Coturnix japonica: one gene and its partner. The protein of the gene in region 1 interacts with the protein of each later gene in a pairwise test. Links are inferred from orthologs where the notes say so. Each region holds a gene or a part of one and is shown on either strand. Other genes may lie near its edges.

Region 1 (4,390 bases):
GGGGATATGATCAATGTGTATTTGAAAGGAGAGTATCAAGAAGATGGGACCAGACTCTTCTCAGTGGTGCCAAGTGATAGGACAAAAGGCAGTGGGCATGATCTAAAACAATGAAAGTTCTGTCTGAACATAAGGAAAGACTTTACTGTGAGGATGATTGAGCAACAGTCATCCTTGATGAGCTGGAACAGGTTGCATGGAACAGACATGGGGACACAACCCTGGGTAGGGGCTGTTAAGGGACCCTGCTTGAGCACTTTGTGAATAACTTTTTAAAATTGGGAAACAGAGGATATTCCCCCCCCCCAGGCTTTTACTGTAAAAACTATGTTAGCTGCGAAAGAAAGAACATCTTAATTTCAGAACTCCCAGTACATTCCATAAAGTAACAACATAATGAGAGTCAGTGAAAACAAAACTACTCGTCTCATCACTGTTTATACTTCCCAGATACTGGCTGTGAAACTGAAGTTCTTTCAGAGTCAGAGCCCATAGCAGAACAGTGTCTTGTGACTCTTAGACAACCCTTTATCACATCATGTGGTGCAAAGAGCAGTGAGAAGAAGAAATGGAGGTTATAGATAAGACAGAATAGCTCTCCCCACCTCCTCAGAAATATGTATGGCTGGTTATTGCACCAATTTTGTTTACCACTGCACAAATTCCTTTGGTCTTAAGGAAAAAAAAGCCTTGTACACATACTTCTTGTGTCTTCTACCTGAAAGGAGGTTGTAGCAAGATGAGAATTGGCTTCTCCCAGGTTACTAGTGATGAGAGGTAGAGGCTTTAAGTTGTGCCAGGAGGTATTCAGGTCGGATGTTAAGAAAAATACTTTGTCAGAAAGAGTGAAGCAGGCTGCCCAGTGGTGTTGGTGGTGTTCAAGGGTAGCTGTTGTCCTGAGGGACATGGTGGGGATGGGCTGGTGGTTGAATTGATGATCTAAGTGCTTTTTCCCAACCTTAATGACTTCATGATTCTAAAACAATGTATTGCTTTCCAATGGAACATATGAATAACTTAAGGAATTACTAGTTATGTCCAGAAATAAAAAAGATTACTTAATAACCTGTTTTACAGGTTACACGTGAAGACGTGAAGTTGTTTTCAGACAACCATTCATGACTGAAGAGTTTCTGTGCTCCGGCTTAGTTTCATTAGGGGTGACTATTACAAAGCTGGCAATCTTGCCAGATACTCAAATCAATAATGTGGTCATTGTGCCTGTCTGTTGAGAATGGAAATAGTGATGAAACAGCGGCGGTAAAGAGGTAAAGGTGATTTCAAAGACTATTTGAGGTAGTGGTCGTGTTGGGTGTACTGGGAGAAGTCCGACACACCAATGGTGGTTACTCATCACTGAATTCTGTTCCTCATCTCTGCTGTTCTGTAAGAGCTACAGCTTGGCGCTGGACAGAGCTCCAGTAGAATCTGTGTATTTATGAGGTAACATACTTTGCCAATTCACGCAAGCAGGAGAACTGTGAGCTTTAATCTCACTCCTTGGTGGCTCAGAGACAGGCACAGGCCCGAAGCTTTAAATCCGCAGCTTGTGAGACGCAAACTGGTGTGACGCGAGCACAAACGAGCGGGCAGGGCCGGGGCTGGAAGTGACGCGGGCGGGCGGGGCTGCGTGGCGCTGATGGTGGAGGCCCCATGTTGATGTCCGCGGCGTCCTCCGCGCCTGCATAGGTAAGGGGCGCTGCGGGGTGCAGCTGAGGGGGGTGGGCGGGTTGGCAGCCCCTTCCCCGCCGGTCCTCGCCACCCGTTGGGGCGGGCAGGGATGTGAGGCGGCGGGCGGCGGCGCTGCGCCACCGGGAGGCCCCCCCCCGCCTGTACGGGGATCAGCTGGTCGGGGCGGCCTGTGTAGGCCTGGATCTGGGCTGCAAAGCAGAGCAGTCTGCAGAAGTCGCTTTTTTTTCTTTTAGCACATTCTTAGAATAAACTTCCTAATTTTTTGAGGAAATCTATTTTAAAAAAATTATATTCCAGTGTTTTTTTTTTTTTTTCTTACCAAGGTGATGAAAATTGACGTGGTTTGTTTCCTTTCAGTGTTGCTTAGCTTCATATAGTAAGGCTGTTCTGTTTCTTTTAGGTTAGCAGAAACTGCAGCTTTGTACTTGTTAATAATTCAGAGAGATGGACCCTTATGTTTTGCTTTTGAAGCATTTTGTGGTGCTGTAATTTTTAGCACGGTGTATTTGGAATGAGGTGGTGAAGGGAAATGGTGACGGGAAGCTTTTGCAATCCAACCGAATTAGTGCTAATCCATCCAACTGCATGCAGACTTGAATGTCTGCGCCATCAGTTCAGTTGTTATTAGTAAAAGTGCAAGACTAAGGGTATCTGTGTTTAAAGTGGGGACAGCAAATGTGCTTCCAGTCTGCTGACATCAGAAGAGAGGAGAAATAAAATAAGGAAAAAAAAAAGCCTGTTTAGATAAACTTTCTCCTTTGTTAAAATGTCTTAAAATGAAGCTTTCTTAGTTTTACTGAGTGGGGAACAACATTTTATTTATGGAAATACTGTCAAAAGCATTCAGAAGTACGGATTTCCCTGAAGCATCCAGAGTCACTAAAGACATTTAATTAAGTCATAGCTAACCCTAACCCTGCCTCATTTTCCCACCACTTTTATTTCCTTCTTTCTGGTACTCAGTTTATCTGTGTTATAGCAGTAGGGGCATTCAGTTAAGTGGTGCTTTCTCTCTGTTTTCATTTCATCACTGAGATGACTGCCTTTTTTTTTTGTTCTGAGAAGTGATTGTTTTGGAGCATTGCGTTTTGATGGGCTCGGTCTGTAGCTGGTCTGTTGTCAGACCAGAGGAGTGAATTGTTTCTCTGTCTGGTATCTTTTGAACAGGTTATTTTTAACTTAGTTCTTCATGATATTGAAGTAACAGCTTCTCCAATTTTGTTGCAGATCAAACATGTCATCCTTTCAAGAAGTCCCATCTTCAGCTAACGCTTTACAGACATCCAATTTTGCACACGTGATTTTTCAGAATGTGGCAAAAAGTTATCTGCCGAACACACACCTTGAATGTCACTACACTCTGACCCAGTTTATCCATCCTCATCAGAAAGACTGGGTTGGTATTTTCAAGGTAAGTAAAACTTAATCTATTCGTGTTTTTCACTTGTTCACTGTCTTCTCTTAACCAGTTTCTAATAGAGAAATCGAAAAATAATACTTTTATAAATGTTAGAGGAAGCATCACAGTGTGACGTCAGAGTCTGAGCTTTTAACGGAGATGAGGCTGGAGTGATAAGTACAAATGTGCTGGAGTAAAGGGAAGCCATGATGTGGTAGAGAATTAAATGGAGATGATTTGAGAGGAGGATTTTTAATAATATATTCAGTGACTACAGTCAGTGAATTGTGAGAGGGTGACATTAGCTACAAGCAGGGCGATTTCTCTGGTAGGAACTGGTTAAAAATACATCCATGTATTTTGATGACCTGATGTGTTTTGACAAACAGGAGTGTGACTGAGCGTGCTTGATGTTTAGTTAACAGGGCGAAGGAATGGAAGAAAAGTCAGAAGTTTAAAGAGAGTGCTGTTCAGGTTACACAAGCATTTTGGTATTATTTACGTGTATCCTGAGAAATGAATGTTGTGGTTCTGTGTGTATCAATCTAAGTAAGGGAGGCAATTAGGTTCCTAAAAATACAGATTAGATTTTTTTTGAGCACAGCAGAAAATACAAAATGTTTTTTTCAGTGACTGCATGTAACGCTATGTCCAATGTACAGATATGCTTCATTTCACTGTGTATGATGATAATTTCATAAGCTATTGAGGTATGAGGTTTTTATTCTACTTCGACAGTTGCAGGCAATACAGCTTTAGCAATTGTTTGGGAAACACTTTGAGCTGACGGAAGGTAACACGGCTGTAACATATCTTCCCTTTCTTTTACTTATTTCTTTTCTTCCTCCCCTTTATGTGAAATAGGCACTTGTGTGATGAACAAAGTCTGGGAATCGATTTCAGGTTCAGACCAGCATTTTGGGAGTAAATTATTTTTAGTGGGGAATTCCACAGCTGAATTTCTAGTCCATCTCATTCTCATCACTACGAAGGAAGGAAATGTTGCAAGATGGGGAAAAGGGTGAAAATTGTTTTCTGTTTGTTACTACGTGTTATGAATATACTGTCTTTATATAGTTATAGTGCAGTGAGGTAAATGAAGCCAGCTGTCCTACTACATCTGTGCTTATCAGTGTATATGTGTGTGAGTAATGCTTACAGTGAACAGTTTGTACCTTACTACATCTTCACAAAGACATTTTTTCCCGTGAACATTGTGGCATTGATAGTTCTAATGTGTACTACTGTTCTGTTCTAGGGATCAATGGCTTCGGCTGTATTCCTTCCTGTGTTTGCTCA
Region 2 (4,061 bases), on another chromosome or scaffold:
AGACTCCATCAGTGAGTAGGTCAATGAGGCTGGGATCAATTCATTACAGACAGCAGATAGATCAACATTCAATTATACAGCTACAACCTGGAAAAGGCTGTAAATGTGGCAGTGACACAGGATTAGATAATACAGGCCAACCATTTTCATTAAGGTCCATGGACTTACAGGACTCCCATCAATGCAGTCTTCAGGCATGCGAGCAAGTAAAAAAAGAATAACAGTTACCTTTCTTCCTTGTGCTTCAGTATGGCACTCTGAGAAATCCATTCACTGCGCAGAAGTGCTTCACTAGTCCAATAATTACATGCAAGTGAGAAAAACTTCCAAGGGAAAGGAGAGAAGAAAGATCACATTCCACATGCAAGTCTGAATCTGGATAATTCGATGCTAGTGTAAGCACAGGTGCTATGCAGACACACAGATGACCTCCCTTGCTCTCTGCCTCCAGATGATGTAACGCAGGGCATCTGCTAACTGTGCTCACTTTTAGCTGCAGTAGGAATTAGAGCCACAGCCAAGAATTTCACTTGAAGTTCCGTTCTTCAGCTCCCTCCCTCTCTTGTCAGGTGCTCAGTTTTCTGTCAAACAGCTGCCTGTGAAGGCTAACATCCCTCTGGAAACAAGGTGCTGGTGGTTGTGTGGAACCAAGTCCAGGTGTTCCACATGCATCTCTGATAGGAGCCCTGGAGCTCTCCTGCACAGCTGGGGAGGCTTACCTTGGGGATGGGTCCCTTAGGGGCCGTGTTGACAGCACCAAAACTGGCCACAGCTCCCCTCCCAAGTCTGAGGCTCAGCAGCTCCTCAGAGCAACACACCCTGTCCTCTCTACATACTTCAGTTCGTTGTGCCATTTGGTGAGCTGTGCTGTGATGGTGTCATGGTTTTGTAATTTTGCTATCAGTATTCCACATCATAACATCATGTAAAGTATGGATAATTTTACTGAATGTTCAGCTCACAGAAGAAGACTACATATCCCAGAGGACATCATGGTCAGGGATAAGTCACGGGACCAGGACACTATATAATCTCACTCCCAGGCTGGACTTGCTCTTCACCAGACTTTTATAAACCCCCTTACCAGGGAGAAACATCCCTTGCTTCACAGTCACACCTTATTCCTGAGATGGCCGTCAGGCAGTACGTACACTTGTGAACAACTTTTGTCAAGGATAAAGCACAGGAGGAGTACATTTTGTCAACAATGTGACAAATGCCTTCGGAGCTCATAAGAACTGCAGCCACTGCCAGCAAACCAGACACTGATAAGCCACTTTCTCACAAACAAGGTCACATATCTCATCAGAATTATGGTGCTGTTGCTCTCTTTTGTTTTGTTTCAATATAAAATACTAAAAACAGTTGTATTACTTTCATGTATGAACCATGTTATGTATTTTATGAGGGCTGCCCTGAAAGTAATGCTTCATACTATGTGATGCTGTCCCACGATGTCAGAGGCAGACATTGGAGGTATGGCAGCAGAGGTTGAATCCTAATATTCGTTACACGTTGTAGCTGTGTGACAGATGGCAGCAGAGGGGCAGTTTGACAGAACGGCGTCTGGCATGGAAGTGTGCGTGAAGCAAAAGCAAGGCTGGGCAGCGCTGGGATGGATGCTGGGATGGATGCTGGGATGGATACTTCCAAGGCAACTCCCAAATGCGAAGCAGCCCGCCCGCCACACGCCGCCCCTCGGGGCGGTGCCGGACCGGCCCATAAGAGGCGCGGCGCGGGGCGGCGGCCTCAGGCGGCGGGATGCAGGCGGGTCCCGGGGTGCAGCCGGTGCGGCCCTTCAAGCTGCGCAAGAGTCTGGGTATGGTTATGGGGATGGGACGGTACGGTGCTCTCTCTCTCTACGTTACAACGTAACGCTTGTGCTCTCTCCCGCGCAGCCACCCGGCGGGAGGAGGTGGCCGGCATCAGGGCCAAGTTCCCCACAAAGATCCCGGTAATTCGCTGCTCCGCGGGCGGGGGCTCCCGGCTTCTGCCTTGAGTATTTTGGAAGGAGGGGAACGGAACGTCGCTGGGGCTTCTAAGTGACTCTAATTAAAAACAGGTAATCGTTGAGAGGTACCAGAAGGAGAAATACCTTCCCCTGTTGGACAAAACTAAGTTTCTCGTCCCCGAGGAGCTGACCATGACGCAGTTCATCACCATCATCAGGTAAGGGCCGCGCACTACCGCGTGAGAGGGGCCTGGGGCGGCCTCCCCCAGCGGGAGCTGATAGGGAAGAGCTCGGGGCTCCCGAGGTCCCTCTTCCCCCTCACTGGCGGATAAAGGCGGCGCGAGGCTGCTGCTCTGCTCCCGTTCTGCCTGGTTCTGGGCTGTGCTCTGCATCCAACTGCTGCTGCCCTGCTGCTCCTGTTGCACTTACAGGTTGCCCAAACCTGTGGCAGCTCCATCCCGGGTGTTCTTTACAAATACACTGGCAAAGAGGTCTCCTAAAGGGGGGCGTTCTGTGCAGGGGTGCTGGGGAATTGTAAGGCAATTTTTTGTCAGTGACAAAAAGTGCGTGGAAGCCATGTTTCCAGTTATTAACTTATGTAGAAGATACTTTTGTCAGCCAGTCTTCATGTGTAAAGTCTCTGAGTGAGACTCCTCTGAAGGTGGGCAGGCCTTAAGTTTAACAGGCTGTGCTGAAATTCCCTATTGTAGCTACACTCAGCACTTCTTGGGAATGGGCAGCCCCAGGCTCAGGCTTGGTAGCAGCTACAGTCCTGCAGCTTAAGCCTTTCCCTGGAGCAAGCTTCCTGTTTCTGAGTACAGTTAACTTTCTGATGGAAATATTAAACTAAGCAACGTCTTCGTGCATAAACTATGTACAAGAAATGCTGCAACTATTCTGCTTAATGTATTTTATAGACTAAGGTTGAAACCTTAAATTTGCTAATGCTTGGTCCTTTGTTTCCTTTTCCCTCTTCATTCAGAAGCAGGATGGCTCTGACTGCTACACAAGCTTTCTACCTGCTGGTGAACAACAAGAGCTTAGCGAGTATGTCTTTGACCATGGCAGAGGTGTACAGGGACTACAAGGATGAAGATGGCTTCGTGTACATGACATATGCTTCCCAGGAGATGTTCGGATGCTGCTCACTCACCTTAGGGAAAACTATGGAATGCCACCATAAAACCTAATGCTGGGGTCTATATGCTGCAGCTAAGCCACTGTGCTGTGAATCATGCATGTGACATGAGACTCGGAGATGCTCCCTCCAGTATGAGCTCTTGAGCTCTGTACTGCGGAGTTATGATCCAAAAGCTGGCAGGACCGGCTCAAGGCAGAGATGGTGGTACACTTTTCCATGGATGATAATTTAGATGTATATTTTTATACTTGGAAGGCACTGTGGGGTTTCTTTTTTGTTGTTGTTGTTTTGGAACTGCACCTCCACTTTTTGCAATACCGATCTTGTGATGTAACTGCTTTTTAAGGTGTTGCTTAAGAATAAAATAAAGAAGCTTTTAAGTACTAGGTTGAATGTCAGTTTTAATTTGGGGAGAGACTTCCTGGGAAAAGGTCCTAGAATGATTCTGGCTCCAGGCTTCTGGAGTGGAGTGTTGCTTGCACAGCCACTCATTCAATTTCACAATGAGATAACAAAACTCAAGCCTGCTCATGCAGCAGTAGGCTCATACCTACAAACAGTTCATTCATTGAAGTACCTGAGTAGCAGGGTTGCATCAGTGCTAGAATAGGGGTCAGTGTTCTGCTCTTTCTATTGAATTCTGCTAGTCTGGTCTGTAGGCAAGCTGGTCATCCCTTTCACCTACAGGCACCTGCACAGCTCTTCTGCTGAGGGACTTCAGTGAGCCTTGCCTCAAGTGTGGGTGTTTGTGCTGTACCTTACAGAGGTATGTCAGCGTATCTGGAAAATGTCAAAACTATCATGTAGTGACATGCTGATACATTTATTGTACAAGCTTCCTGAAAATGAATTGGAAGAAACTCTTGACAGGAGGTTCAAGCTGAAGTGCAGCTTTCTAATATATCAGGAATGTGTCAGAAAGTTGTAAATGTTCAGTTTGTGCATAATCGGAATACCAGGTTATGTAAA

What was found.
Region 2: the proteins of TAX1BP1 (region 1) and MAP1LC3C interact in binary tests that used the Homo sapiens proteins (3 or more experiments, as listed by UniProt). The link is inferred for Coturnix japonica from reciprocal best matches to the Homo sapiens genes TAX1BP1 and MAP1LC3C.

Annotation. Positions count from the first base shown.
Region 1 is NC_029517.1:30,157,354-30,161,743, forward strand, and holds the start of TAX1BP1 (tax1-binding protein 1), read left to right. Parts: upstream 1-1,574; 5' UTR 1,575-1,689; intron 1,690-2,919; 5' UTR 2,920-2,926; coding exon 2,927-3,103; intron 3,104-4,390.
Region 2 is NC_029518.1:32,120,159-32,124,219, forward strand, and holds MAP1LC3C (microtubule-associated proteins 1A/1B light chain 3C), read left to right. Parts: upstream 1-1,705; 5' UTR 1,706-1,761; coding exon 1,762-1,819; intron 1,820-1,898; coding exon 1,899-1,954; intron 1,955-2,062; coding exon 2,063-2,169; intron 2,170-2,933; coding exon 2,934-3,141; 3' UTR 3,142-3,478; downstream 3,479-4,061.